Linked DNA regions of Callithrix jacchus. The protein of the gene in region 6 purifies or fractionates together with the protein of the main gene of each other region. This does not show direct contact. Links are inferred from orthologs where the notes say so. Each region holds a gene or a part of one and is shown on either strand. Other genes may lie near its edges. The genes, in order: PPP6C, RANBP2, TMF1, ZC3HC1, ERCC6L, PLK1 and PRKAR1A.

Region 1 (4,411 bases), on a different chromosome or scaffold from region 6:
ATTACAAAAAATTAGCCGGGCACGGTGGCGTGTACCTGTAATCCCAGCTGCTCGGGAGGCTGAGGCAGGAGAATTGCCTGGACCCAGGAGGCGGAGATTGCGGTGAGCCAAAATCGCGCCATTGCACTCCAGCCTGGGTAACAAGAGCGAAACTCCGTCTCAAAAAAAAAAAAAAAAAAAAAAATACAAAAAATTAGCTGGGCATGGTGGCGCGTGCCTGCAATCCCAGCTACTGAGGAGGCTGAGGCAGAATTGCCTGAACCCAGGAGGCAGAGGTTGCGGTGAGCCCAGATCGTGCCATTGCACTCCAGCCTGGGTAACAAGAGCGAAATTCCATCTCAAAAAAAAAAAAGAAAAGAAAAAAAGAAAAACAAATAGAAGCAAAGTATAATGCAGTTGTGTTCAATAGGAAATAAAATGGTCTAAAAACTATATTTCATTAAGGTAAGAAGGAAATCTAATGTTTATCAAAGTAAGAGGTCCAAAGAAGTCCAACAGATTCTTTTTTTTTTTGTGAGATGGAGTCTCCCTCTGTCACACAGGCTGGAGTGCAGTGGCTTGATCTTGGGTCACTGCAACCTCCACCTCCTGGGTTCAAGCAATTCACCCTGCCTCAGCCTCCCAGGTAGCTGGGATTACAGGCACTCACCACCACGCCAGGCTAATTTTTGCATTTTTTAGTAGAGATGGGGTTTCCCATGTCGATCAGGCTAGTTTCGAACTCCTGACCTCAGATGATCCGCCCACCTTGGCCTCCCAAAGTGCTGGGATTATGCCATGCCTGAGACGTTATCATAAAAAAAAAAAAAACATTTTATTTATCATAAACACAAAGTTTAAAAAAGCTTTACACATGATAAATAAAAAGAAAAAATTCCAAATCAATTCACTGACATGCAATAGTCAACCTCACCTACAGGATTAATAATGCTACTAAGAGGTCTGGTTAGTTTTCCATGAATTGGATCCCAATGCTAGTTGTATTCTTATTCCAAAAAAAAGAAAAAAGAAACACGCATAGCAGAAAGAAGCCACAAAACAAATGTCTGAAGGACTGATGAGTATGTATGCTACATTGCTACTAATGAAGGCTCTATCCTTATTTTAAATTATCCTATTAAAAATGGGAGCATACACAAGAATGACTCCCCTATAATATGCTTCATAAAATTAACATATAAGTACAATTCAGTTACATTCACAACAGCATGTGTGGCCTCAAACATTATGCATACTTGTTGACTTATGTTAAGTATCAACTTCCAATACCAAAGAAGAAACAAACAAAACCCACAGTAATATATTTCTTGAAGAATACACTAAGATAAATAACTAGCACAAGCTGATAAGCACTGCTAGAAACCTAATAAGCACTGGTTTCACCAAATGCATAAACACTTTTCAAAAAAGCAGCATACCTAGGACGGGTGCGGGGGCTCACGTCTGTAATCCCAGCACTTTGGGAAGTTGAGGTGGGCGGACCAATTGAGGTCAGGAGTTCGAGACTAGCCTGGCCAACATGGCAAAAACCCGTCTCTACTAAAAATACAAAACAGCCGGGTGTCAGCCACCTACTCGGGAGGCTGAGGCAGGAGAATCACTCGAACCCAGGAGGCAGAGGTGCAGTGAGCCAAGATCGCGCCACTGCACTCCAGCCTGGATGACAGAGTGAGACTGTTTCAATAAAAAATAATGATGGAAGGGAGCGGTGGCTCACATCTGTAATACCAGCACTTTGGGAGGCCAAGGCGGGCAGATCACGAGGTCAGGAGTTCAAGATCAGCCTGGCCAACATGGTGAAACGCCATCTCTACTAAAAATACAAAAATGAGCCAGACGTGGTGGCATGTGCCTGTAATCTCAGCTGCTCAGGAGGCTGAGGCAGGAGAATCGCTTGAACCCAAGAGGCGGAGGCTTCAGTGAGCTGAGATCAAGCCACTGCACTTCAGACTGGGCGGCAGAGACTCCGTCTCAAAGAAAAATAAAATAAATAAATAAATAATAAGTTGAAAAGAAAAGCAGTATATCAAACTCATTCCTTTACCCATACATACATTTACTTGGACTCAAGGGCAACGAGGAACTCGTCTTCTTTAGAAAACCAAGAAAACGAAATCTTGAGTTAAGAAGGGGTTAAGGGGAAAGTATTTGTATTTATTAAGAACCAACTACTTTCTCCACTTCAGTAAGCTCAACAAAATACTCAGAAACGGGTTCACCTCTGAATTAGCAGAAGAAAACCCACGGTCCTAAAAGGCAATTTGGAGAAGGTGGAGGAGTGGCAGAGAAGAGGGACGATCTGACATTCGCTCTCGTCAGTACCAAACCACTCGGACCCACCGCCTTCCCCTTCCTCAGAGACCTAAACAAACTGGGGCCGCGTTGCAAGAGCCTGTGGCAACTCCTGTCAGACGCCGGCCACTCTGCGCTCCTGTCACCTCCAACGGGGACGATCCCATCCCGAGGGCACTGCCGCGGGGGCTCGGCAGTGAATGCCGGAGATCCCGGGAAGGGGTGGAAAGCTGCTAAGCAAAGCTGTTGCAGCTACGGGTCCTGGGGCAGCCCGAAGGCCAAAAGGGGCGACCCTGGGGTAGAGGCCGCGAAATCCCTTGGGATACCCACTGAGGCAACTAGGACATCATTTGGGGGACTTGGTTCCCCCAACCATTGGCGTGACGCCGGGTCGGGCCGGGTCGCATGGCATCGGAGAGGGCCCTCCACCGCGGAGAGACGGGATACCCGGCGGGGGTCCCACGAAGAGAGGAAGGGCGGGCCGGCGGGCGCCCCACAGCCGGAAGGGGCGAGCCTGTAAGCAGCGCTCCCGCCCCGGCAGGGCTCACCTTCAGGTCGTTCTCTGGCAGGTATTTGCACAGCCGCGCTATCTCCACATACTTGTCTAGGTCTAGCGGCGCCATTTTGAGAATAACAAGCCGCGGCGACAGCGGCGGGGTCGGCGGCGGCGGCGGCTGTAAAAGCAGCGGCGGCGGCGGCAGCGGCGGAGGCCGAAGCCGGAACTCTCCTACGTCACGTCCGGACCGTGAGTGGCGTCTGCGCAGCGCCGTTAAAGCGCGACCCGCTTCTCCCCGCTACCTCGGTACGCCCGGCGCCCCCTCTGGCTGAACCCCGGCTGCAGGCCCCAAGAGGCCCCCCCATCGGTCCAGCCTGCGAATTCTGATGGGACCCGTAGTCGCCTGCCGCGGGTGTTGCCGGGATTTGTAGTTTTCCGTTGTGGACAGCCACCCCTTTCTTTTCCTCCCCTTCAGTTCCTCCAGACTTTCACCTCCCGGCAGCGGGCGAGGCTTTTCCGAGGCAAAACGGCGGAGTAGGTCGTCCTAGCCACTCACTCGTTTCTCCTTCCAACCCTTTTAAGCACTCTCTCACTTTCACTTAACAACTGGGTAAGCCTGGCCGTAGTAACTTGTTTGCATCTTTCCAAGTGCCTGTGAAAACCTCGCTTAAGCCTGTGGCACAAATGTCAGGCTCCAGCCTGAAAGGAAGATAAAGAAATATTAAAGCATTTCTTGGCCGGGCGCGGTGGCTCACGCCTATAATCCTAGCACTTTGGGAGGCCGAGGCGGGTAAATCACGACATCAAGAGATCGAGACCATCCTGGGCAACAAGGTGAAACCCCGTCTCTACTAAAAATACAAAAATTAGCTGGGCATGGTGGTGGCGCCTGTAGTCCCAGCTACTCGGGAGGCTGAGGCAGGAGAATTGCCTGAACCCAGAAGGCGGAGGTTGCGGTGAGCCGAGATCATGCCATTGCTCTCCAGTCTGGGTAACAACAGCGAAACTCCATCTCAAAAAAAAAAAACATTTCTTATGCTAAATGCGATACAAATTCTATTTTTCCATTTAATCTTTGTAACAATTGGTAGGAAAGTGAGACTTGGAGGCTTTAAGTAGTTTACCCCAAATCTCACAGGGAACAAATGGTGGGGCCAAGATTGGAAAATGGCTTAAGCTTAAGCATACTTCCAGTGAGAATCCCACGAAGGCAGGGAGTTTTCTGCTGTGACTCCAGCACGGAGAACAGTACCGCATACCTTCAGTAGTTTATTCAACCGCTCTTTATTGAGCAACAAAGATGTACCAGGTACAGCTGCAGGCGCTTGGAATACTTAGTGAACAAAATAGACAAAGATCTCTATCCTATCTGTAGCTACAAAAACTACCAAATTTAGCCGGGGGCAGTAGTGCGTGCTTGTGGTCCCAGCTACACTGGAGGCTGAGGCAGAAGAATCGCTTGAGCCCAGGAAATGGAGGTTGCAGTGAGCTGAGATCGTGTCACTGCACTCCAGCTTGGGGGACAGAGCGAGATCCTCAAAAATAAATAAAATAAAATTAGTAAAAGGAAGCTGCTGTATGGGACTGGGGTGGGGGTGCAATAGCTCTAGCTAAGAGATCAGT
Region 2 (3,801 bases), on a different chromosome or scaffold from region 6:
ACAGCATTTTTTTTTTTTTGAGATGGAGTCCCGGTTTTTCAGGCTGCTGTGCAGTGATGCAATCTCGGCTCACTACAATTGCTGCCTCCCAGGTTCAAGCTATTCTTATGCCTCAGCCTCCTGAGTAGGTGGAATTACAGGTGTATGCCACCACACTTGGGTTTTTTTTTGTTTGTTTGTTTTTTTGTATTTTTAGTTGAGACTGGGTTTCACCATGTTGGCCAGGCCTGTCTTGAACTCCTGACCTCAAGTGATCTGCCTGACTTGGCCTCCCAGAGTGTTGGGATTACAGATGTGATCCACTCCTGGCCTGGCCTATCTTTCATAGGTTATATAAATTCCTTGGTTCCCAGTTTTGGTAGTCTTTTCCAGTTCAGTTTAATTAATGGTTAAGTGTTAATTTATTATCAAAAAAAGTACAGTGTAATAGAAAAGACCGTCTTACTATTAGAAGGATGGGTATCATAAAATTAAGATATTTGATTCTAAAATTATTAGGTTCCAAGACCAAAGCTTAAATTAATAAAAGGAGAAGCTGGACAAAATCTGCTGGAAATGATGGCCTGTGACCGTCTGAGCCAATCAGGTAATGGTAATGTTAAACTAATTTAAAAAGAAAAAAGGTAAATTTCTGTTAAGGCATGTCTTATGATAAAATCTTCTGTCTGTCCAGGAGATAATTTATCAAAATCATTTCTTTTGCCATATCAGTTAAGAGCAATAGGTGTGGAAGAGATGAGAAGAAATAGTATATTCTTTAAAAGAAATGAATATTTTATATTGTTTGTTCCTAGGTGGAGAGGATTTCTTAAATCTTTCTTTATCTGGCTGCTACAGCCTCTATCCTGAATATTTCATCACTTTCTGAAGTATAATTATTGATTTGTCAACCGTTTAACACCAGCTGCTTCTAAAAGCACTGCTGTGGGAATATAAAGATGAAGATACGGATCTGTCTTAAAGAGCTGAGAGCTTAGTGAGGAAGATAGAAGATACATATTTACCTTGTATTAGGCTCTTGGAATTTGTAGTTTTTTTTCTCATTTTTGGCTGATTGGGATGAATCCTAAAGGTCCGTTACAAATTACCTGTGATTTGCTAAGATACGAGCTTTAAGGTAGTCGGGTAGCCAGTGAATCAAGCACTGAACTGAAGAAACATAATGTTTTGATATAAAATTGGACGAATTTTGTAAAGAGCAAGATGTAGTATTAAATCAAAGTTATTATAAGCCTTGGTGTATGGTTAGGCTGTTGGCCAAAGCTCACATTGCTCTTTTATTCCATAGCCCACTTTTTTTGGTGGGAGTTAGACTTTCAGTCCTTAAAGTGTCTTTCTACTTTTTTCCTTTTCTGTTTTCCTTCTACCCTTGCGGGGCTCTCTTAGTGCCTTTGCAGGATGTCACAGTTAGATAAAAATCCCTGGCCAGGCGCAGTAACTCACGCCTGTAATCCCAGCACTTTGGGAGACTGAGGCAGGAGGATCACAAGGTCGGGAATTTGAGACCAGCCTGATCAACATGGTGAATCCCCGTCTCTACTACAAATACAAGGATGAGCTGGGCGTGGTGACGTGTGCCTGTAATCCCAGCTACTTGGAGACTGAAGCAGGAGAATCACTTGAACCTGGGAGGCGGAGGTTGTGCTACTACACTCCAGCCTTGGTCACAGAACGAGACTCCATCTCAAAAAAAAAAAATCGCCTATATTTTTTTATGTCTGATGTGGGCATCCCGAGGGTGCCCTCTGTGAGCATGCTGACACAACTGTGTAGTGGTAACCAAACCTGATTGATTGGCCAGCAGAATTAACTCCAAGGAGGGTGTTTAAAAAACGGTTTAATTGAAATATTCTGATATCGTACGTTTTACCCATTTAAAGTGTACAATTCAGTGGCTTTTAGTGTGTTCAAAGAGTAGTACAGTTGTTAACCACAATCAGTTTTAGAACATTTTCATCACTCCATGAGGAATTCCTTACCCATTAGCAGTCAGCCCACATTTTACCCAAACCTCTCAGCCTTGGCAACTACTAATCTGTCTCTGTCTCTGTTTGCCTATTCTGAACATTTCACATAAATGGAATCATACAGTATGTGATCTCTTGTGACTGGCTTCTTTCATTTAGCAAGGTTTTTAAGGTTCATCTGTGTTGTAGCATATGTCAGTACTTTATCCTAGGACAGTGATTTTTAGATTACTTACTGCGAGCCTGTGGAATAAAAATCTCTGGAAGCGGAACCTGGAAATAATTCTTAAAAGCTGTTTAAAGAAGGATTGTGATCAGCTAGGTTTAGAAATCAGTATATCAGAACGGAGAGTAAGAGCTTGTTGTCGCTGCTTTCCTATGGCCACTTAAATCCAAACCTTTTCATCTAAAATGCAAATATGTTTGGCATTTTTCATACATGTTTCTGTCTTTTTTTCTCCCTTCTGCTGTCTTATGTAGATACGGATAATATTAAACCTGTACTCTATTTATTTTCTTTATAAGCACCCTTTTTGTTGTCCATCTGTATTTTTTGGGTTGGAGGTTTAGGTCTGCGATAATCATGTTATTTTCCCTTTGGGTATACAAATAGTGTGGGCCAATACAATCTGTATTTTTAAAGTGATGGAAATAATTTGTTTTTCAGGGCACATGTTGCTAAACTTAAGTCGTGGCAAGCAAGATTTTTTAAAAGAGGTTGTCGAATCTTTTGCCAATAAAAGCGGGCAATCTGCTTTATACGATGCTCTGTTTTCTAGTCAGTCACCTAAGGATAGATCTTTTCTTGGTAGTGATGATATTGGAAACATTGATGTACAAGAACCAGAGCTTGAAGATTTGGCTAGATACGATGTTGGTAAGTTACATGTTTCAAAGGAAACTCTACATCTTAATCCTTATAAGTTTTCCATAATCTTATTACCTAGAAATAATGACTTAATATTTTCCTGTATTCCTTTTGTGTGTGGGTTGGGTGGCAGGAGGCGGGGTTCAAATTTGATGCTGTGGAGGTGGCATGTATTTTTTTTTTTTTTTTTTGAGACCAAGTTTTTCTGTTGTTGCCCTGGCTGGAGTGCAGTGGTGCGATCTGGTCTCACTGCAGCCTCTGCCTCCTGGGTTCAAGTGATTCTCCTGCCTCCGTCTCCTGAGTAGCTGAGATTACAGGAGTCCGCCGCCATGGCTGGCTAATTTTTTGTATTTTTAGTAGAGATGGGGTTTCGCCATGTTGGGCAGGCTGGTGTCAAACTCCTGATCCCAGGTGATCCCTGCTTCCTGAAGTGCTGGGATTATAGCTGTGAGCCACCACGACTGGCCTTGTTGTTTTCTGAGACAGGGTCTCACTTTGTCACCCGGGCTGGAGTGTATGGCATGATTGGATCGTAGGTCACTGCTACCTTAAACTTCTAGGCTCAAGGGATTCTTTTGCCTCAGCCTCCTGAGTAACTGGGACCACACACACATGCCACTCTGCCCGGATAAGTTTTTTTTAATTGGTAGAGACCAGGTCTCACTTTGTTGTCCAGGCTAGTCTTGAACTCCTGGGCTCAAGGGATCCTCCCGCTTCAGCCTCCCAAAGCGTTGGGATTAGGGCCAACATGGGGGCTCACACCTATAATCCCAGCACTTTGGGAGGCTGAGGCGGGTGGATCACCTGAGGCCAGGAGTTTGAGACCAGCCTGGCCAACATAGCAAAACCCTGTCTCTACTAAAAATACAAGAATTAGCCGGGCGTGGTGGCATGTGCCTATAGTCTCAGCTACTCAGGAGGCTGAGGCAGGATATTCACCTGAACCCAAGAGGTGGAAGTTGTTGC
Region 3 (3,801 bases), on a different chromosome or scaffold from region 6:
GTGTGATCATGGCTCACAGGGTCTCTCTCTGTTGCCCAGGCTGTTGCCCATGCAGTGGTGTGATCATGGCTCAGAGCAGCCTCGACCTCTGGGGCTCAAGCAGTCCTTCCCCCTTATCCTGTCTAGTACCTGAGACTACAGGCTTGTACCATGCCTGGCTTTTTTTTTCTTTTTTTTAATTTTTACTAGAGATGAGGTCTTACTATGTTGCTAGGCTGGTCTTGAACTGCTTGGCTCAAACAGTCCTCCCATCTTGGCCTCCCAAAGTGCTGGGATTATAATCATGAACCTGTGCCCAGCCCTACTTTCATTTTATTTTATTTTATTTATTTTTTAAGACAGAGTCTTGCACTGTTTCCCAGGCTGGAGTGCTGCTCACTGCAACCTCTGCCTCCCAGGTTCAAGTAATTCTTCTGCCTCAGCCTCCCAAGTAGTTGGGACCACAGGCACGTGCCACCATGAGCAGCTAATTTTTGTATTCTTTGTAGAGAGAGATGAGTTTTACCATGTTCGTCAGGCTCGTCACAAACTCCTGAGCTCAAGTGATCTGCCCTCCTTGGCCTCCCAAAGTGCTGGAATTACAGGTGTAAGCCACCATGCCTGGCCTCTACTTTATTTATTTATTTGATTATATTTTATTTTTAGATAGAGTTTGACTCTTGTCACCCAGGCTGGAGTGCAATGGCACGAGCTTGGCTCACTGCAACCTCTGCCTCCTGGGTTCAAGTGATTCTCTAGCCTCAGCCTCCTGAGTAGCTGTGATTATAGCTGCCCACCACTATGCTTGGCTAGTTTTTTTATTTTTAGTAAAGACAGAGCTTTACCATGTTGGCCAGTCTTGTCTCAAACTCCTGACCTCAGGTTATCCACCCACCTCAGCCTCCCAAAGTGCTGGGATTACAGGCATGAACCCGGACTTCTGTTTTTTAAATGCAACATATCATACTAAGAAAAGGGTACATGTTTCAGGTGAAGAATAATAAAGAAAGCAGACACTTGTATATCCACTACCTAGCTAAGATAGTCTTTAAATCCTCTCTTTGACCTCTTTTGATTGGATCCATCTCCCTTCTCCTTTTGGTGTATATGCAGACGATTCCAGATTTTTGCGATTACCAGGAAGCTACAATAAGTATTCTTATCCCCGTCACCTAGTGCATTTATGCAAGAATTTTCTCCTCTAAAGTTTACCTAAAAGTGAAATTTTCTATATCAAAGAGTATATAGATCTCCAACTAGATATTACCTAATTGTTTTCCCAAGTGGTTTCTCAACTTACACTCCCACTAGCTCTTTGGTTGTACTTACTTGTACTCTCCTATCCCCTGCCTAAGAGTACTTCTTTTTCTGCATCCTCTGTGTTCCTAATATTGTTCTTAATTGTTTTTATGAGATAAAGCTGTTTTCTTTATTATAGTGATATACCTACATGTAGAAATTGTCTTTTTTAAAGCTAAGTGCGCTGACTTTTTGGTTTTCTCCTTATCCAGACAGTTGAATTTCTGAATGAAAAACTGGAAAAAAGGGAGGCTCAGTTATTATCTCTTAGTAAGGAAAAAGCACTTCTAGAAGAAGCTTATGATAACCTGAAAGAGTAAGTATTCTACAAATGTAAATAATGTTACACATTTTCTGGAGGTCTGTATACTTTGTACATATTTAAGAATTTTTTGAAATTAAAATGTTTTGTAATTTTATCATTATTGAAAGTTGTATAGGATTTCAGTTATAACCTTAAAGATTACTTTTCTGCTTTGTCTTTACCATATTACCTTTGGCATTGAAGAGAGTCATTTTGCAAAAACTGCAAATCTCTTTCCGTTCATGTTTAGTCTTTCAGTATTACAGATTTAAAACATGTATTTAAAGAAAACTGTGTTATTGTAGTTTAAGAAAATACTGGGTATTGGTTTACTATGAGGAGCTGATTGGGAAAATGTGACACAAAAAGATTCAGAATTGAGACACTGTATTTACTTTCTGTTATTTTTGCATGTCAGATATTGGTAACATTTTCAGTTTCTAAAAGGTTTTCTTTGAGGTATTTTAAAACAAACTTAAGGGAAATGTCCTTATTTTTTTCTTAAAAGTTCTAATAGTCCCATAACTGTTCTATTTTAATAAGGTATATGTCAGAGAAAAGTTATCTTCCTTTTGAGAACTGAACTCAAGTGTACCTTTGGGATATATAAACACCATCCTCAATTCTCAAATATTGTTTTAAATTTAGTGAAATGTTCAGAGTGAAAGAAGAAAGCAGTAGCATTTCTTCCTTGAAAGATGAGTTTACTCAAAGAATTGCAGAAGCAGAAAAGAAAGTTCAGCTAGCCTGCAAAGAGAGGGATGCTGCTAAAAAGGTAATAGAAATTTAAAAATAATATTAAACTCTATAAGAGATTTTTGAGGAGTACATTCATCATGTTTTGATAGTGGAAAAAAAGAAAAGCAAGGTAAAAAGGGTATCATATATTAACATTTAAATCGTAGATTTTTGGCTAGGTGTGATAGTTCATGCCTGTAATCCCAGCACATCGGGAGGATGAAGTGGATGGGTCACTTGAACCCAGAAGGTAGAGAGTAGCCTGGGTAACATGGTGAGAACCCGCCACTACTAAAAAATGCAGAAAGTTAGCTGGTTATGCTGGTGTGCGCCTGTAGTCAGCTACTCAGGAGGCCGAGGAGGGCAGATTGCTTGAGCCCAGGAGTTCAAGACAAGCCTAGGCAACATGGTGAGACCCCATCTCTACAAAAAATACAAATATTAGCTAACCATGGTGCCATGTGCCTGTGGTTACCTGAGCCCAGAAGGTTGAGGCTGCAGTGAGTCGTGATTGTACCCACTCTACTCCAGCCCAGGTAACAGAGTAAGACCCTGTCTCAAAAAAAAAAGGAAAGTTAATATATGCTCATTTATGTTTTCATATTAAAACTTGCTTATATATCTGGATTTAGGTTTTGTATATCATTTTCAAAGCTGTTTTCTCAGTCTTAGTTAACCAAGGTAGTAGATTAATTGAACAAAACTTACAGATTCTTATTGAGAATGTGATTATGGATAGCTTCTTTGGATGGGGGAAAAAAATGAGAACTATTCTTAGAGTGAAAGTAATTCTTTATGGTATTCACAGATTTCTTTTTTATTAGGAAATCAAAAACATAAAAGAAGAACTTGCCACTAGATTAAATAGTAGTGAAACTGCAGACCTTTTGAAAGAGAAAGATGAGCAGATCCGAGGGTTAATGGAAGAAGGTGCGTAAAGTATTTAGTTGACTATAGAAAATATTGTAAAAATAGGAAAAGTATTTGCTACATACCTAGCTGATGCTTCCTAATTAAAAATACTGAAAGCAAGGAGGATTTGGACTTAAACTATAGAAATAGTAGGTAACAGTTTGTGAAATAATGAGGAAGAAGATATGTTGAGACAGAGATATGTGTTTGTAGCTTTTGTTTTTAGGGAGTAAAAAAAAAAAAAGTAAGACCCTAGTAAAATAGACAAAAATTTGTGCTGCCCTAAAAACTGTCAACAGGTCTTAAGAGCCTGTCATTTAACCCAAGATATTCAAAGCGTGTAATTCTGGGATTTAGGTAATATCTGAATACCTAGCTTGGGTTCTGTATGATATTGTATTGTTCTGGCATTTGATAGTGAATTTTTCATTGTATTCTTAATTTTTAAATTATTAAGAATTTTTGTCTCTGAGAAGATTTAAAATTAACAGTGTTGGCTGGGTGTGGTGTCTCATGACTGTTATCCCAGCACTTTGGGAGGCCAAGGCGGGTGGATCATTTGAGGTCAG
Region 4 (3,801 bases), on a different chromosome or scaffold from region 6:
TTTGGCAGAGACTTCCACTATCCTTAATCTACCAAAGAGAGCATATTTAAAATAAGTCAAGATTGGTTCTGACAGTAAATAAATCTTGATTTATTTTAAATATGCTCTCTTTGGTAGATTAAGGAATGTTTTTCATGTAAAGGGAAAAGGTTTAAGGAGGGACAGGAGAAATTTTTAAAACATGCCTGCAAAACAGTCTCACCATAGAGAGCACACTAAGAACCCCAGGTCCTTCTATGGGAAATACATGAGAGATGATGAAGCATGAAGCTGGGGTCCTGAGATTGGAACACAAAGGCTCTGACAGGACATGGTTCCCGTCCACTGGACTGTTCCAGAAATTGGATGAGATGAAACATACTCACAAGACATTACACTTAGTCATTTGGAAATATGACACTTTGAGAAAACTCTCTTTTTCATTTCTGTCTAGTTCCTCTTTGGAACCCATGCAGCTCTGCCTGATAACATGTTCGCAGTGTATGAGGAAGGTGGGGCTCTGGGGCTTCCAGCAGATTGAGTCGTCCATAGCTGATCTGGACACATCATTTGGCCTGACCAGCTCCCCTATCCCAGGGCTTGAGGGGCGGCCAGAGCGCTTCCCTCTGGTGCCTGAATCTCCTCGGAGGATGATGACCCGGAGCCAGGATGCCACTTTCTCCCCAGGCTCAGAGCAGGTATGCACTTAGCTTGTTTGGGGTGGACTTTTTTTTTTTAACTGTCTTCTGAAGTGAATGAATTGAACTGGGGTGGACTTTGAAACAACATTCTTGGCAAAAATGTTGTTGCTAGAAAGTTGGAAATTAATTTAGGGAGATAGGCTTCACTTTGCACTACACTGGTTACAATGCCACGTGGTGTTTCTGTTCACTAATGGAGAAGCTAAATTCAGCCAGATGTGGTGGCTCATGGTGTAATCCCAGCACTTTAGGAGGCTGAAGCAGGCGGACCACTTGAGGTCAGGAGTTTGAGACCACACTGGCCAGTATGGTGAAACCCCATCTCTATGAAAAATACAGAAATTAGCCAGGCATGATGTGGGGCCTGTAGTCCCAGCCCTTGGTAGACTGAGGCAGGAGAATCACTTAAACCTGGGAGGCAGAGGTTGCAGTGAGCAGAAATCACCCCGCTGCACTCCAGCCTTGGTGACAGAGCAAGACTCTGTCTCAAAAAAAAAAAAAAAAGATTAAATAAAGAAGTATCTCTGACCATGATCATTAATATCATTTTCGTACTTCCATTATCTCCCCTTTCCTTCAGGCTGAAAAGAGCCCTGGTCCCATTGTCTCTCGAACTCGGAGCTGGGACTCCTCCAGTCCTGTTGACCGTCCTGAGCCAGAGGCTGCTAGCCCCACCACCAGAACCCGCCCAGTGACCCGAAGCATGGGAACAGGAGACACCCCTGGCCTGGAGGTACCATCTAGCCCTCTTCGGAAGGCCAAGCGAGCTCGCCTCTGCTCCTCCAGCAGTTCGGTGAGTCCACCTCGCATCTAGCAGTGGCTGAACATAGACAGCATGTTGGGATTTCCCTGGGCAGCTTGGAGAAGCAGGCATGAGCCCTTCCATGGTCCAGTGCAAAAAGTAGACCATGTGACTAAGTTTAAAGTTGGGTGACCAAAGGGAAAAAATGTCAGTCATTTGCTCCTTTGGGGTAGCTTCTGGAGAAATAATAGATATCTCAGGCAAATGGAGCAGCAGTGTGATACGGGGACAAACCTGATAAGGCAGTGGTCTCCAACCTTTTTGGCACCAGGGACCGTTTTTGTGAAGACCATTTTTCCACGTACCGGAGTTTAGAGGATGGTTTGGGGATGATACAAGCACATTACATGTATTGTGTACTTTTTATGTAATGAAATAGTTATACAACTCACCATAATATAGAATCAGTGGAAACCCTGAGCTTGTTTTCCTGCAACTAGATGATCTCCTCTGGGGTTGATGGGAGACAGTGACAGATCATCAGGTGTCAGACTCTCATAAGGAGCCAGCAGCCTAGATCCCTCAAGTGTGCAATTCACAGTAGGGTTCCTGCTCCTATGAGAATCTAATGCCGCTGCTGATCTGACAGGAGGTGGAGCTTAGGCAGTAATAAAGGATGCGGAGTGGCTGTAAATACAGATGAAGCTTTCCTTGCCTGGCTGCTGCTCACCTCCTGCTGTATGGCCTGGTCCCCGTCCATGGCCTGGGGGTGGGGTATCCCCTATCCCTTGTGATAAGGTATAGTTTGTTTAACACGAAAGGAGTGAAAAAATAAGGAAAATATCTTGGCAGAGTTTAAAGGAGAGCATAAACACTTGAAGTATGGGTAGTTGTGAGATTCTGGATTTGATGACTAATAGCAGTGCCTCCCTGAACTTACATAGCATCTGCCCATGAATGCTATTTCTTTTTCTCCTTCCTCAGGACACATCTTCCCGAAGCTTCTTTGATCCCACCTCTCAGCATAGAGACTGGTGCCCTTGGGTGAATATCACACTTGACAAAGAAGGCAGGGAGAATGGTGGAACTGAACCAGATGCTAGCGCCCCAGCAGAGCCAGGCTGGAAGACAGTGCTGACCATCCTGTTGGCCCACAAACAGTCTAGCCAGCCAGCTGAAACAGACTCTGTGGTGAGATAAGCTATTACCTTGTGCGTGGACAGCCCTTGCTGTTTATGGGAGGAGGAGCAGAGGCTGGTCCTATAATTAGCACCCTGCCTGCCCTCAGCTTTCATATGTCAAGTTATTTCAGTTTTTTTGTTTGTTTGTTTGTGAGACGGAGTTTTGCTCTTACTGCCCAGGCTGGCATGCACTGACGTGATCTCTATCACTGCAACCTCTGCCTCCTGGGTTCAAGTGAGTCTCCCGCCTCAGCCTCCCAAGTAGCTGGGACTACAGGCACCACACCCAGCTAATTTTTTTTTTCCTTTTTTTTCTTTTTCCTACAAACTACACAAAGACGTTTTTGTTTTTTTGAGACGGAGTTTTGCTCTTTTGCCCAGGCTAGAGTACAGTGGCACAATCTCAGCTGACTACAACCTCCACCTTCTGGTTCCAAGCGATTCTCTTGCATTAGCCTCCTGACTAGCTGGGATTACAGGTGCCCGTCACCATGCCCAGCTAATTTTTGTATTTTTAGTAGAGATGGGGTTTCACCGTGTTGTCCAGGCTGTTCTCAAACTTCTGACCTCATGATCCACCGACCTCAGCCTCCTAAAGTGCTGGGATTACAGGCGTGAGCCACTGTGCCCGGCTAATAGGTCAAGTTAGACTCATTTTGCTTTCATCCTTGGGAATAGGCGTAGAACTGGTTTGTCTTTCTGCACTTTAGCATATGGCATTCCATCAAGTTCTGATAAATTCTTTTGTTCTCTTAAATAAAATGACTCCAAGTAGAAAAGGAGTACAGAAACAGAAATAGATGAATAGGCAGCTGCTCCAGCCTCATGTTGCAGACAGTTGCTTTTTCTTTCAGTTGCCATCACTTGCACCTGGCCAGTTAACTTAGCTGTTTGGAGCACTGGACTCTGTCACCAAGATGATGGCTTCATTCTGCACGCTGGCCACATTACTTTACTCTGTTCCACAGCCCAGACTGTGACTCTACTAGCCATTGCAGCCATGACTGCTGTGGGTTACAAATGTGGGTGTCGACTGAGAAGAAAAGTCAAGTGTTTGCTGTGTGTAAAGATTGGAAGTGATAGGCTGGGCAATATGGAACCCTAAACACTGGGTCTCTCCTTGGCTGGCTCACTCCCAGCTTTTCCTTGTAGCTGGTAACAATTGCTGACCTCTATAACTTTCAAGGACAAAGTAAAA
Region 5 (4,527 bases), on a different chromosome or scaffold from region 6:
TCTGCCTTTGAAAATGACTGTATCTTAGTTGGTGCTTCTGAAGAAATGGTGACTTCTGAAGAAATGGTGACCACAGCACAACTTCTTTCTTTCTTTCTTTTTTTTTTTCTTTTGAGACGGAGTCTCACTCTGTTGCCCAGGCTGGAGTGCAGGGGCACGATGTCGGCTCACTGCCACCTCTGCCTCCCAGGTTCAGGCGATTCTTCTGCCTCAGCCTCCCGAGTCGCTGGGATTACAGGCAAACGCCACCATGCCCAACTAATTTTTGTATTTTTAGTAGAGATGGGGTTTCACCGTGTTGGCCAGGCTGGTTTCGAACTCCTGACCTTGTGATCTGCCTGCCTTGGCCTCCCAAAGTGCTGGGATTACAGGCGTGAGCCCACGTGCCCAGCCTTTGTTTTTTGTCTTCCTCTTGTTACACCAAGTATGTAAACCTAACTACTTATTTCTTAAATAAGAACTTTAATTTTTTTTTTTTAGTTGGAGTCTTGCTCTGTCACCCAGGCTGGAGTGCAAGTGGCACAATCTTGGCTCACTGCAGCCTCCACCACCCAGGTTCGAGATTCTTGAAGACCGTTCTCTCTCTCTCTTCAAAATAAATACAGCATAACGCCCTGTGGAAAAGAAAAAAATATTAAAAATTAAAAAAAATAGAGACTTCACTATGTTGCCCAGGCTGGTCTTGAACTCCTGAATGCAAGTGATATTTCCCTCCCCTTCCCCGCCACCTCGGCCCCCCCCCCCACAAAGGGCTAGGATTACAGGTTTGAGGCACTGCGCCCAGCCTTTTTTTTTTTTTTTTTTTTTTTTTGAGACTGGATCTCACTTTGCCACCCAGGCTGTAGTGCAGTGGTGCAATTGCGGCTCACTGCAACCTCCAACTCCCAGGTCCAAGCGATTCTCATGCCTCAGCCCCGAGTAGCTGGGACTGCGGGCGCCCGCCATCACGCCCGGCTAATTTTTGTATTTTTAGTAGAGTCAGGGTTTCACCATGTTGGCCAAGCTGGTCTCGAACTCCTGACACAAGTGATCTGTCCGCCCCAGCCTCCCAAAGTGCTGGGATTACAGGCGTGAACCATCGCGCCCGGTCGCTTCTTCAATGTGAGTTTAAATCATAGAGACTATGCCTCCCAGGGTGTTTGAATTCAAAGCACGCTCCGTGCCAGGTACTAGTGATCAAGGAATAGAGGATATCTGTGGATGCGAGGCGGGGTTGGTTGGGGGGACACAGGCGGCGGAGGAGATCTCCAGGTGTTGCTACAACGACTGAGACCATACTGGGAAGTCTCCTCCACGCACAGTGATGGAACACGCACGCGCAAACGAATTGGTCGCAGCATGGTTTGAACTGGGTTAAAACGCGAGGCGCCACAGAGTGACGCAACACACTCAGTGTGTTGCAGGCAGAGATGGCCTCCTATCTCCCGGCGCGCGTTTATGGGCGGGGTTCAGGCGGTGGCGTCGTAGCGTGCGGTAGGGGATTGGCCAGCCGCGAGGCCGACGGTTGACTGCGTCCCTTTCCACAGGCTCAGAGAGCATGCGCAGGGCGGCAGTGAGCGAAATTCAAGCTCCAAGCTCCTGCCGAGGTAGCTGGAACCGGATTCGAGGGTCATGGAGGCGTCCGGAAGGTTTCCGGAAGCCGAGGCCTTGAGCTCAGAGCAGGCTGCTCGTTACCTGAGGTATGTTTGGGCTGCTGGGCGGGTTTAGCTAACCGACCTGGCCTAGGGCGGAGGTGGGGTGGCCCCCCCCCCGTATCCCTCTGGGGACTGAAACTGCTGAGGCGGAGCCTTGTGAGACGCGTGCTCACTCTCTTCTCGCAGTAGGGTGTGGTAGTAAGCTCTGGATGTTTGACCAGATTTCTAAAACTTGGGGAGACCCCGATGCCTCTCCTTTTGGGCAAATGACCCTCTGGTATGAGCTCCTTAAGAGCCAATGCTTTAATCAAACCTTTCTTGATTCTTTTCAGTTTATCAAGGCCCAAATCTAGGGGATACAGAGATGAGTAAAACAAGGTCCCTGCGCCCCAGATTGCTTGTAATTTAGTAGTGGAAACAGATCTGCGAAGCGATAATTACTATATTTAATAAGTGCTGTAAGCGGTATAAGGTACGTGCAGGGCATCGTGTTGGCATAAACGAGGGGATGGCCAACTACAAGAGTGGTCAGCCAAGGGATGGAGTGGCAAGAGGAGACATTTGAGCTGTGCGTTGAAAAATGAGTAAACATTCAGCAATTGGCTAAGGGTGGGGGGGCATGGTAATGTTGGGATGAGCATTTAAATTTTTTCTTAAATTGTCGTAAAGTACACATAACATAAAATTTTTTTGTGCAGGAGATGGGTTTTACGGAAAATAAAATGTATCACCTTAACCATTTTTAAATGTACAGTTAGTACTGTTAACTGCATTCATATTGTGCAACTGTCCATCACCTCCAGAACTTTTTTTCCATGTGGCAAAACAAACTACTCCCATTAAACAACTCTCCATTTTCCCCTCCCCTCAGCCCCTAGCAACAAGTATTCTGTCTCTATGAATTTTACTACTTTTTTTTTGAGACAGGATCTTGCTCTGTCCCCCAGACTGGAATGCAATGGCCTCATTATAGTTCACTGCAGCCTTGAACTCCTGGGCTCAAGCAGTCCTCCTGCCCCAGCTTCCCTAACAGCTGGGATTATAGGTGGGTGCCACCATGCCCAGCTAATTTATTTTTTATTTTTTTAAATTATTTTGTATATATTTTTAGAGACAGGGTCTGGCTCTGTCACCCAGGCTGGAGTGCAGTGGCGTAATCTCTAACTCGGCTCACTGCAACCTCCATCCCCCCCCCCCCCCTTGGGCTCAAGTGATCCTCCCACCTCAGCTTTCCCAGTAGCTGGGACCACAGGCGGATACCACCACACCCGGCTATTTTTTTTTGTACTTTTAGTAGAGATGGCGTCTCGCCATGCTGCCCAGGCTTGTCTTGAACTCCTGAGTTCAGGCAGTCCTCCTGCCTCAGCCTCCCAAACTGTTGGGATTACAGACATGAGCCACCATGCCAGGTCTTTCATTCAGATTTTTCCAATTGTTTGCCATTATACTTTTGTTGTAATAGGCAGCCTTTGTGCACTTTTTAACTGAGTATACACTTTGGAAGTGGGATTGCTGGTCTTAGGGGATGTGTATTTAAAATCGCTATTCAAGAAAACCATGCCAGAGTTTAATAAAATCAATAGTGTGAGTAAGAATTTATTTATAGGGGCCGGGCGTGGTGGCTCAAGCCTGTAATCCCAGCACTTTGGGAGGCCGAGGCAGGTGGATCACGAGGTCAAGAGATCAAGACCATCCTGGTCAACAAGGTGAAACCCCATCTCTACTAAAAATACAAAAATTAGCTGGGCATGGTGGTGCGTGCCTGTAGTCCCAGCTACTCGGGAGGCTGAGGCAGGAGAATTGCTTGAACCCAGAAGGCGGAGGTTGTGGTGAGTCGAGATCGTGCCATTGCACTCCAGTCTGGGTAACAACAGCGAAACTCCGTCTCAAAAAATAAAAAAAAAAGAATTTATTTATATTTTCTCAGGCTGGTGTGTGATGAGCTATATGAGTCAACTCAAAAGTTAAGATACATAGTTTTACTTTTGAAACCAGAACTTCTAGTATTTTCTTCTACAAATATACTACACGAGTGGGCAAAGATGTGTGTGCGTGTGGATACAGTAAGTCCTCACTGAACATTGTCCATAGGTTCTTAGAAACTGTGACTTTAAGTGAATGACATAGTAAAACCAGTATTTTTCTCATCAGTGTTGCAGTAAAATGATACTGAATGAACCAGTGTTATTCAAGGGCCTGCTATGCATCATCTTGCTTAAAGTTGCAGTTGCCAAGAACCTACTGACCATGTTAACTGAGGACTTACTGTGCATATAAACATATACTACAGGTGTGTGCCACCAAGCTTGGCTAATTTTTAAAAGATTTTTGTAGAGATGGAGGAGTCTCGCTGGGTTTCCCAGGCTGGTCTTGAACTCCTGCACTCAAGTGACCCTCCCACCTCTGGCTCTCAAAGCACTGGGATTATAAGCGTGAGCCACCACACCTAGCAGAATCATACTTGCTATTACATTTCCATTATTAACCACCATTTAAGCATTCTACTCTCCAACTTCTACCTTACTCCCTCTAGTACACCTATTCCAACAGCCATTTGATGTCATTGGGACCTGTAGTTCATTGATTGCATCTTTCACTGTTGCACACCCCTCAGGTTCTCAAACTCTCTCTCCTTATAGAGTTTGAAGTTCAGAGTCAAATAACTTCCTCGTATACAACTTTAACTTATTTTTTTTCTCTTTCACACTTCATTATACTGGCTTGGCAAGACCGTAGCCTTCATGTGGTAAGTAGATTAATGGCCTCCTGAGGATCTCCACATACTTTCTGAACCCTGTGAATATGCTACCCTCATATGTTAGAGAGGAATTAAGGTTGCTAACTAGCTGACCCTAAAATAGGGAAATTGGAATATCTTGGTGAGCCCAGTGTA
Region 6 (4,227 bases):
TGTTCCAGAGTTGCCACTCAAGTACCTACAGAAGCTAGAAGCCAGACAGGCAAATGGACAAAGGGGTATAGCTGGTAACTGGGGCAAACTGAAAGCACGTAGGCACAGAGTAGCTAGCACTTGTAATTTTTTCAGGAAAAGCCACATATCCTAATTTTTATGAGCTCTTCTTTTAAATGCTGTAAATGTTTTAGAAGGGCTGGGTGCGGTGGCTCACACCTGTAATCCCAGCACTTTGGGAGGCCGAGGAGGGCAGGTCACTTGAAGTCAGCAGTTTGAAACCAGCCTGGCCAACATGGTGAAACTGTCACTACTAAAAAAAAAAAATGAGCCGGGCCTGGTGGTGGGCTCCTGCAATCACAGCTACTTGGGAGGCTGAGGTGGGAGGATTGCTTTCAGCAAGCCAAGGTTACAGTGAGCCGATCGGGCCACTGAACTCCATCCAGCCTGGGCGACAGAGGGAGACTCCATCTCCAAAAAAAAAAAAAAAAAAAAAAGGAGGCCTAACAAAACCCCGCAAGACACATTGGCTATGACCTACGAGTTTGTTAGGCATTTTTCCAACCTTACCTCCCTTTGACCAAGAAACAGTGTCCTCCATTTTAGGCCCTGGGAAATTCAGCAGCGAGCAGGCCAGACAGCTTCGTTGCATCATGGGGGGCTCTGGTACTGTGCTTCTCCAACTTCAGGATGTGTAGGAATCACCTGAGCAGTCTTGTTGAGAGGCGGACTCTGACTCGGGAGATCTAGGGTAGGGCCTGAACATTTGCCTTTGTGGTTCTAACAAGCTCTCAGGTGATGGGGATGCTGCTGTTCCCTGGCCCCTCCTTTAAACAGCGCTGCTCCATAATCTTGAGGAGCTCAAAAGCAGCAGTTATTTGAAGGAGCAGGACTACAGTACTGGCCATGAAGGTATGTTTGGCAAGCACACTTTTACTTAATTTTAATTCATTTGGGGTGGCTTGGCTGAGAGCTGACAGCATCGGAGGCGAGTGTTAAGGCTCTCCCAAACTACTTTATTGGCGTGCCAGGTCCCTACTCAGCTTACATACTAGGTGGGGTGGAGGTGGAGGAAAGTCTAAGGAAAAGCTTAATGGAGGAGGCGCAAGTGAACTGCAGGAGCTTTCCCGGACGCCCAAGAAAGGGAGAAACCCTAAAGAAATTCCTCCCTTCTCGGGCCGGGTCTCCGTAGCCACGCCGGGTTTGGTTTCCCAGGCTATCCCACGTGTTCGGGTGTCCCTGTCAATCAAGTTTTCCCCGGCTGGGTCGGGGTTTAAAGGCGGCTGCGGGGCAGGGCGCTCCCATGGTTCCGCGCGGCGAGCGGGTTTGGATTTTAAATCCCCGCGACCAATCAGTAGCGCGCAGGCTTTTGTAACGTTCCCAGCGCCGCGTTTGAATTCGGGGAGGAGCGGAGCCTCTGCTCGGATCGAGGTCGGCAGAGCAGCTCCGAGAGCATGAGTGCGGCGGTGACTGCGGGAAAGCTGGCACGAGCACCGGCCGACCCTGGGAAAGCCGGGGTTCCCGGAGCTCCAGCGGCGGCCCCACCAGCGAAAGAGATCCCAGAGATCCTAGTGGACCCACGCAGTCGGCGGCGCTATGTACGGGGCCGCTTTTTGGGCAAGGGCGGCTTTGCCAAGTGCTTCGAGATATCGGACGCGGACACCAAGGAGGTGTTCGCGGGCAAGATTGTGCCTAAGTCTCTGCTGCTCAAGCCGCACCAGAAAGAGAAGATGTCCATGGAAATATCCATTCACCGCAGCTTGGCCCACCAGCACGTCGTAGGATTCCACGGCTTTTTCGAGGACAACGACTTCGTGTTCGTGGTGTTGGAGCTATGCCGCCGGAGGGTGAGTGTCGCTGCTAGGGAACTGGAATTGCCTGCGGGGCAGTTGGAGAGCCTGGACCTGGAGCAGCTGCTGGAAAGAGTGCCCAGGAAGGGAGTGCCTGGGACTTGGAGCTGGTTGAGAAGGGTGCTGGGAGCCTCCCGCTTAGGTATGGAAAGTGTCTTTGGTAAGGGCTTCTTGCCTCTTGGAACTGCTAGAAGAGTGGGTTCCAGTGAAGTGGAGTCTGAGTCAGGTTGCTGACCGGGAAGTCAGCTTCTGGACGCTGGGGGGAGGGGTGCTGGTAATGGACTCTAGGGCCCTAGAGTGCCCAGGGAGGAGTCCCAAGGTTAGTGAAGCCGCGCACTGGGAGCTTCCGGAGTGGGGTCTGGTCAGTAAGGAGGTAGTTGCAATCCAGACTTCGGTCCTTCCCGGGGAAATAAGAATCAGGAAAGGGATCTGCTGCTGGGCACTCGGAGCTTCCGGAATGGGGCTGAGAGAGGACCCCCAAGTAAGAGAGGAAGCTAGGGGAAGGGGTGCAGCGAATGGTTGTGAGTAGTGTTAAAGGAGGGTCCAGATAGCAATTGTCCTGGAGAATGGGGTGGGGGCTTAGGAAAGGAGAGAAACCCACCAAGACGCCACTTTGATCCGCCAGGAGTCTAGGTCCTGTTCTTCCTTTACCTAGTAGTAACCCTCTCCCTTCCCCACCGGCCTCAGCACCACCCTCCCATCCCTCCTGCCCTCTCCTTCCCACCCACAGTCTCTCCTGGAGCTGCACAAGAGGAGGAAAGCCCTGACTGAGCCTGAGGCCAGATACTATCTGCGGCAGATTGTGCTTGGCTGCCAGTACCTGCACCAAAACCGAGTTATTCACCGAGACCTCAAGCTGGGTAACCTTTTCCTGAATGAAGATCTGGAGGTGAAAATAGGTGAGTTGCTGAGCCTGCAGGGTGCTTGACATCCCTACAAGAGGCTGGAATTTGGAGGAGGCTGGGAGAAAGGATAGGAAGGAGACCAGGAGGAAGGAAGAGGATGGATGGTGAGAAGTTTGGGCGTTGATTGCTTCTATAATTCTCTCCTTTGTCCAGAAATTTAAAACAAACGCCCACAAGTCAGTATCTTGCCTGAAGACACATTATAGCCCCAATACAGGACTTTTTTTCAAATAATTTGAGTTTGTTTCTATTTTTTAAAGTGGAAAGCTTGACATAAAAATTTTGATTCAGAGCTCCTTTTAAACAGGTGAAAGCTCCAGTAATACGAGGGCGGCATTTTCTTAGGGCAGCCCATTGCTGGGCTGGAAAGCAGCTGTCCCTTCTGACATGTTTGCCAAGGTCTCTACTCCTCCCTATTCTTCACAGGCTTGCCAAGTCTTGGCGGTTACTTGCTTGATTCTTGAAGGCACTGGAGTTTTGCTGTCCCTGTCAGTTCCCATTTTGAAGCATAGCCCCTTTCTAAGGGGTAGGGTTGTGAAGGGTCACTGGAGGCACCTCCCTGAGGTCAGCATGGCAGGAAGATTTCTGGGCAAGCCTTGCGGCATACAAGGAGCAGAGGCTTGTGGGATCAAATGGCTCTGCTTCTTGATGGTCAAACCTTAACTAGCTTTCTGCATTGACAGATGGCAGAGGCTGGCATTTAAGTACCCATTCTTCCTCCCTCTGTCCCAGGGGATTTTGGACTGGCAACCAAAGTCGAGTATGACGGGGAGAGGAAGAAGACCCTGTGCGGGACTCCTAATTACATAGCTCCCGAGGTGCTGAGCAAGAAAGGGCACAGTTTCGAGGTGGATGTGTGGTCCATTGGGTGTATCATGTAAGTTGGGAGTTGTCTTTGGATCTGCCTGGTCTCAGCAGGGGCAACTTTGGGACATCCTACTTGGCTGACCTTTTCTATGGACCTTTCTGCCTGCTTTACAGAAAGCCTATTCTAGGGGACAAGTGACCCCCAAACGAAGCCTAATTGCTGTATCTTTCCCTGTCACTGGTGTATCCTATCAGATTTCTGCAGCCTAGGCCATGGGTACAGAGGAGGAGGAGGAGGAGGAGGAGGAGGAGGGGGAGGGAGGAGGGAGAGTCTTCACAGCCTTACTTTAGTCCTTTGCTAGAGTGGTCCACAGGGCAGCATCACCATCATCTGGGAACTTGTATGCGGAATCTCAGGGCCCAGACTACTTACTGGATCAGAATCTGGATTTTTAACAAATCCCTTGGTGATTTCCATGCACAATAAGGTCTTAGAAACACTGATGAGCATTAGCATGGTGGGAGAAATTAGGCCAGGAGTTACAGATGGCAGGATGAGGTGCCAGTGGTCCCTCTGGATTGAGACCATCAGCTGCGATTGGTGGCAGGCAGAGGCTTGGGCCTTTTCAGGTATTATCTTTGTTTTTGGCATAGGTACTAGAGAG
Region 7 (2,494 bases), on a different chromosome or scaffold from region 6:
TAGAGGTAATTGAAGACAGGCACCATGTTTAATCTGAGACACTACTAGAATGTTGAATGGGCATGGCTGTTTGGTTGAATCTCTTTATACTTTCTTTGTACCTTCATGGTAGCACCAAATAATACAGAGCAATTCTTTTGATTCTTGTCTTTTAGAGTCTCTGGACAAGTGGGAACGTCTTACGGTAGCTGATGCATTGGAACCAGTGCAGTTTGAAGATGGACAGAAGATTGTGGTGCAGGGAGAACCGGGGGATGAGTTTTTCATTATTTTAGAGGTAAAGAACTCGGAATTTGATACTTTAAAAAGTTGTACACTCATAGAGGGAAAGAGTGGGCTAATTCTGAATTACAGCTTTAGTTTTTAAGAATACCTTACAAATTTATTTTAAAATTATCTTTTACTTTGAAATGCTGTTGTTTGGTTTTCTGCCAGGTCACTACATTTTTAAATGAGTTTGAGTCAGAATTCTTGAAAGGCCCTAGACATGAATAGCCAAATTCTGAAAGCCATTTAACAACATACTGTGATGATTCTGTACTATCCTTGTTAAAATGCAAGTATTTGGGCTATTTGGCAAATAAGGATTAAATGTAATTATTTAAATTTGAAAAATTCCTGTATTTTTATATCTTCACATTTCATGGAAATGTATAGCAGGTACTCTTGCTTGCCAAGCAGATCCACGTGACAGATATCTATGAATGTGGCTCCATAGTTGCTAATTGATTTTATTTAAACCAAGGGTCAGGAAACTGTAAAGGACCAGGTGGTAAGTTAAGCTTTGTGGACCCATTGCTGTAGTGCAAAAGCAGCCACAAATAATATGTAAATGAATGGATGTGGTATTCCAATAAAGTTTTATTTGCAAAAGAGACAGCGAACTTGGATTTAGCCCTTCCTCTACAGTTTGCTAACCCAAGTCTGAAGAACCTTGCTAGCAGGAGATGCTGGTAAAATAGAAATTGAAGCTCATGTGGTGACTAACTTTAAAGTCCTTTTTTTATCTCATTCGTATGTAAATGGAAATAACCACTGAATTGACCGCCCCCCCCCCCATTTTTGCAAGATAGCTAAAATTGCATAGGATGTTTAAGATGCCACCTTGGGTTTGAGAGTGTTTGTTTAGCTTTTTGGTGATTTTATTGTAGGGGTCAGCTGCTGTGCTACAACGACGGTCAGAAAATGAAGAGTTTGTTGAAGTGGGAAGATTGGGGCCTTCTGATTATTTTGGTATGTATGAATTCCCTCACAATAAATACATGGTTTCTTTAAATCACCTCTCAGTGAGATACTGTAGTCTTCCATAATCTTGTCTTTTCCTGAATTTTATTTTTTTATTGCAGTCTCTTTTGGCTCTGAGAGATATAGTGTGAGATTTTTTGATCTTTACTCAGTTAATGAAATTATTGATTGTCTCATATCTACTAGTTTGTTTTTTAAGTGTAGATGTGGTGTGCCCTGTACTAAGTTATTAGAGAAATAAATATTTGTGTTTTTTCTCAGAAGTGCACTGCTTTAAGGAAATGTTTTTCATAGAAATTAGCCTGTCCTTACCCTTCCTCTTTTCCTTTCTCCAGGTGAAATCGCACTACTGATGAATCGTCCTCGTGCTGCCACAGTCGTTGCTCGTGGCCCCTTGAAGTGCGTTAAGCTGGACCGACCTAGATTTGAACGTGTTCTTGGCCCATGCTCAGACATCCTCAAACGAAACATCCAGCAGTACAACAGTTTTGTGTCACTGTCTGTCTGAAATCTGCCTCCTGTGCCTCCCTTTTCTTCTCTCCCCAATCCATGCTTCACTCATGCAGACTGCTTTATTTTCCCTACTTGCAGCGCCAAATGGCCACTGGCATCGCAGCTTCCTGTCTGTCTATGTATTGAAAGTTGCTTTGCACCATTTTCAATTTGGAGCATTAACTAAATGCTCATACACAGTTAAATAAATAGAGTTCTATGGAGACTTTGCTGTTACTGCTGCTCTTTGTGCAGTGTTAGTATTCAACCTGGGCAGTGAGTGCCATGCTTTTTGGTGAGGGCTGATCCCAGCACCTGTTGAATTACCATAGCGTAATGATGTAACAGTGCAAGATTTTTTTTTAAAGTGACGTAATTTTCCATTTATAAGCATAGACTGTGGCCATATATGCTGTATTTCTTTGTAGAATAAATGGTTTCTCATTAAGCTCTAAAGATTAGGGAAAATGGATATAGAAAATCTTAGTATAGTAGAAAGACATCTGTCTGTAATTAAACTAAGGGTGCAAAAAGGCCCATTTTTGCTAATTATCAATGGGTTATGATTGGTTCAATTTTTTTTTTCATTTTTAACCAGAATTTTTGTTTGCCAAGCTAATCTGCCTGGTTTTATTTATATCTTGTTATTAATGTTTCTTCTCCAATTCTGAAATTCTTTTAGGTGTGGCTATCTATACCTGCCTTTTAAGTTTGAAAGTAAATCATAGACTATAAATACTGGGTTAGTATTCAGCTA

What was found.
Region 1: the proteins of PLK1 (region 6) and PPP6C purify together in Homo sapiens (affinity purification with mass spectrometry; 4 studies listed by BioGRID and IntAct, with this or other methods). This does not show direct contact. The link is inferred for Callithrix jacchus from reciprocal best matches to the Homo sapiens genes PLK1 and PPP6C.
Region 2: the proteins of PLK1 (region 6) and RANBP2 purify together in Homo sapiens (affinity purification with mass spectrometry; 3 studies listed by BioGRID and IntAct, with this or other methods). This does not show direct contact. The link is inferred for Callithrix jacchus from reciprocal best matches to the Homo sapiens genes PLK1 and RANBP2.
Region 3: the proteins of PLK1 (region 6) and TMF1 purify together in Homo sapiens (affinity purification with mass spectrometry; 5 studies listed by BioGRID and IntAct, counting the BioPlex papers as one, with this or other methods). This does not show direct contact. The link is inferred for Callithrix jacchus from reciprocal best matches to the Homo sapiens genes PLK1 and TMF1.
Region 4: the proteins of PLK1 (region 6) and ZC3HC1 purify together in Homo sapiens (affinity purification with mass spectrometry; 3 studies listed by BioGRID and IntAct, counting the BioPlex papers as one, with this or other methods). This does not show direct contact. The link is inferred for Callithrix jacchus from reciprocal best matches to the Homo sapiens genes PLK1 and ZC3HC1.
Region 5: the proteins of PLK1 (region 6) and ERCC6L purify together in Homo sapiens (affinity purification with mass spectrometry; 9 studies listed by BioGRID and IntAct, counting the BioPlex papers as one, with this or other methods). This does not show direct contact. The link is inferred for Callithrix jacchus from reciprocal best matches to the Homo sapiens genes PLK1 and ERCC6L.
Region 7: the proteins of PLK1 (region 6) and PRKAR1A purify together in Homo sapiens (affinity purification with mass spectrometry; 4 studies listed by BioGRID and IntAct, with this or other methods). This does not show direct contact. The link is inferred for Callithrix jacchus from reciprocal best matches to the Homo sapiens genes PLK1 and PRKAR1A.

Annotation. Positions count from the first base shown.
Region 1 is NC_133502.1:173,787,155-173,791,565, forward strand, and holds the start of PPP6C (serine/threonine-protein phosphatase 6 catalytic subunit), read right to left. Parts: upstream 3,011-4,411; 5' UTR 2,916-3,010; coding exon 2,841-2,915; exon of another isoform or gene 2,623-2,840; intron 1-2,622.
Region 2 is NC_133515.1:20,366,298-20,370,098, reverse strand, and holds part of RANBP2 (E3 SUMO-protein ligase RanBP2), read left to right. Parts: intron 1-498; coding exon 499-586; intron 587-2,634; coding exon 2,635-2,844; intron 2,845-3,801. UniProt on the Homo sapiens protein: E3 SUMO-protein ligase which facilitates SUMO1 and SUMO2 conjugation by UBE2I. Involved in transport factor (Ran-GTP, karyopherin)-mediated protein import via the F-G repeat-containing domain which acts as a docking site for substrates.
Region 3 is NC_133516.1:50,858,009-50,861,809, reverse strand, and holds part of TMF1 (TATA element modulatory factor), read left to right. Parts: intron 1-1,490; coding exon 1,491-1,594; intron 1,595-2,230; coding exon 2,231-2,357; intron 2,358-3,144; coding exon 3,145-3,250; intron 3,251-3,801. UniProt on the Homo sapiens protein: Potential coactivator of the androgen receptor. Mediates STAT3 degradation. May play critical roles in two RAB6-dependent retrograde transport processes: one from endosomes to the Golgi and the other from the Golgi to the ER.
Region 4 is NC_133512.1:117,183,218-117,187,018, forward strand, and holds part of ZC3HC1 (zinc finger C3HC-type protein 1), read left to right. Parts: intron 1-433; coding exon 434-677; intron 678-1,260; coding exon 1,261-1,473; intron 1,474-2,406; coding exon 2,407-2,613; intron 2,614-3,801. UniProt on the Homo sapiens protein: Required for proper positioning of a substantial amount of TPR at the nuclear basket (NB) through interaction with TPR.
Region 5 is NC_133524.1:69,461,487-69,466,013, reverse strand, and holds the start of ERCC6L (DNA excision repair protein ERCC-6-like), read left to right. Parts: upstream 1-1,537; 5' UTR 1,538-1,611; coding exon 1,612-1,679; intron 1,680-4,527. UniProt on the Homo sapiens protein: DNA helicase that acts as a tension sensor that associates with catenated DNA which is stretched under tension until it is resolved during anaphase. Functions as ATP-dependent DNA translocase. Can promote Holliday junction branch migration (in vitro).
Region 6 is NC_133513.1:24,285,591-24,289,817, forward strand, and holds the start of PLK1 (serine/threonine-protein kinase PLK1), read left to right. Parts: upstream 1-1,400; 5' UTR 1,401-1,454; coding exon 1,455-1,847; intron 1,848-2,580; coding exon 2,581-2,749; intron 2,750-3,487; coding exon 3,488-3,632; intron 3,633-4,227. UniProt on the Homo sapiens protein: Serine/threonine-protein kinase that performs several important functions throughout M phase of the cell cycle, including the regulation of centrosome maturation and spindle assembly, the removal of cohesins from chromosome arms, the inactivation of anaphase-promoting complex/cyclosome (APC/C) inhibitors, and the regulation of mitotic exit and cytokinesis.
Region 7 is NC_133506.1:124,607,694-124,610,187, forward strand, and holds part of PRKAR1A (cAMP-dependent protein kinase type I-alpha regulatory subunit), read left to right. Parts: intron 1-155; coding exon 156-277; intron 278-1,151; coding exon 1,152-1,233; intron 1,234-1,580; coding exon 1,581-1,753; 3' UTR 1,754-2,494. UniProt on the Homo sapiens protein: Regulatory subunit of the cAMP-dependent protein kinases involved in cAMP signaling in cells.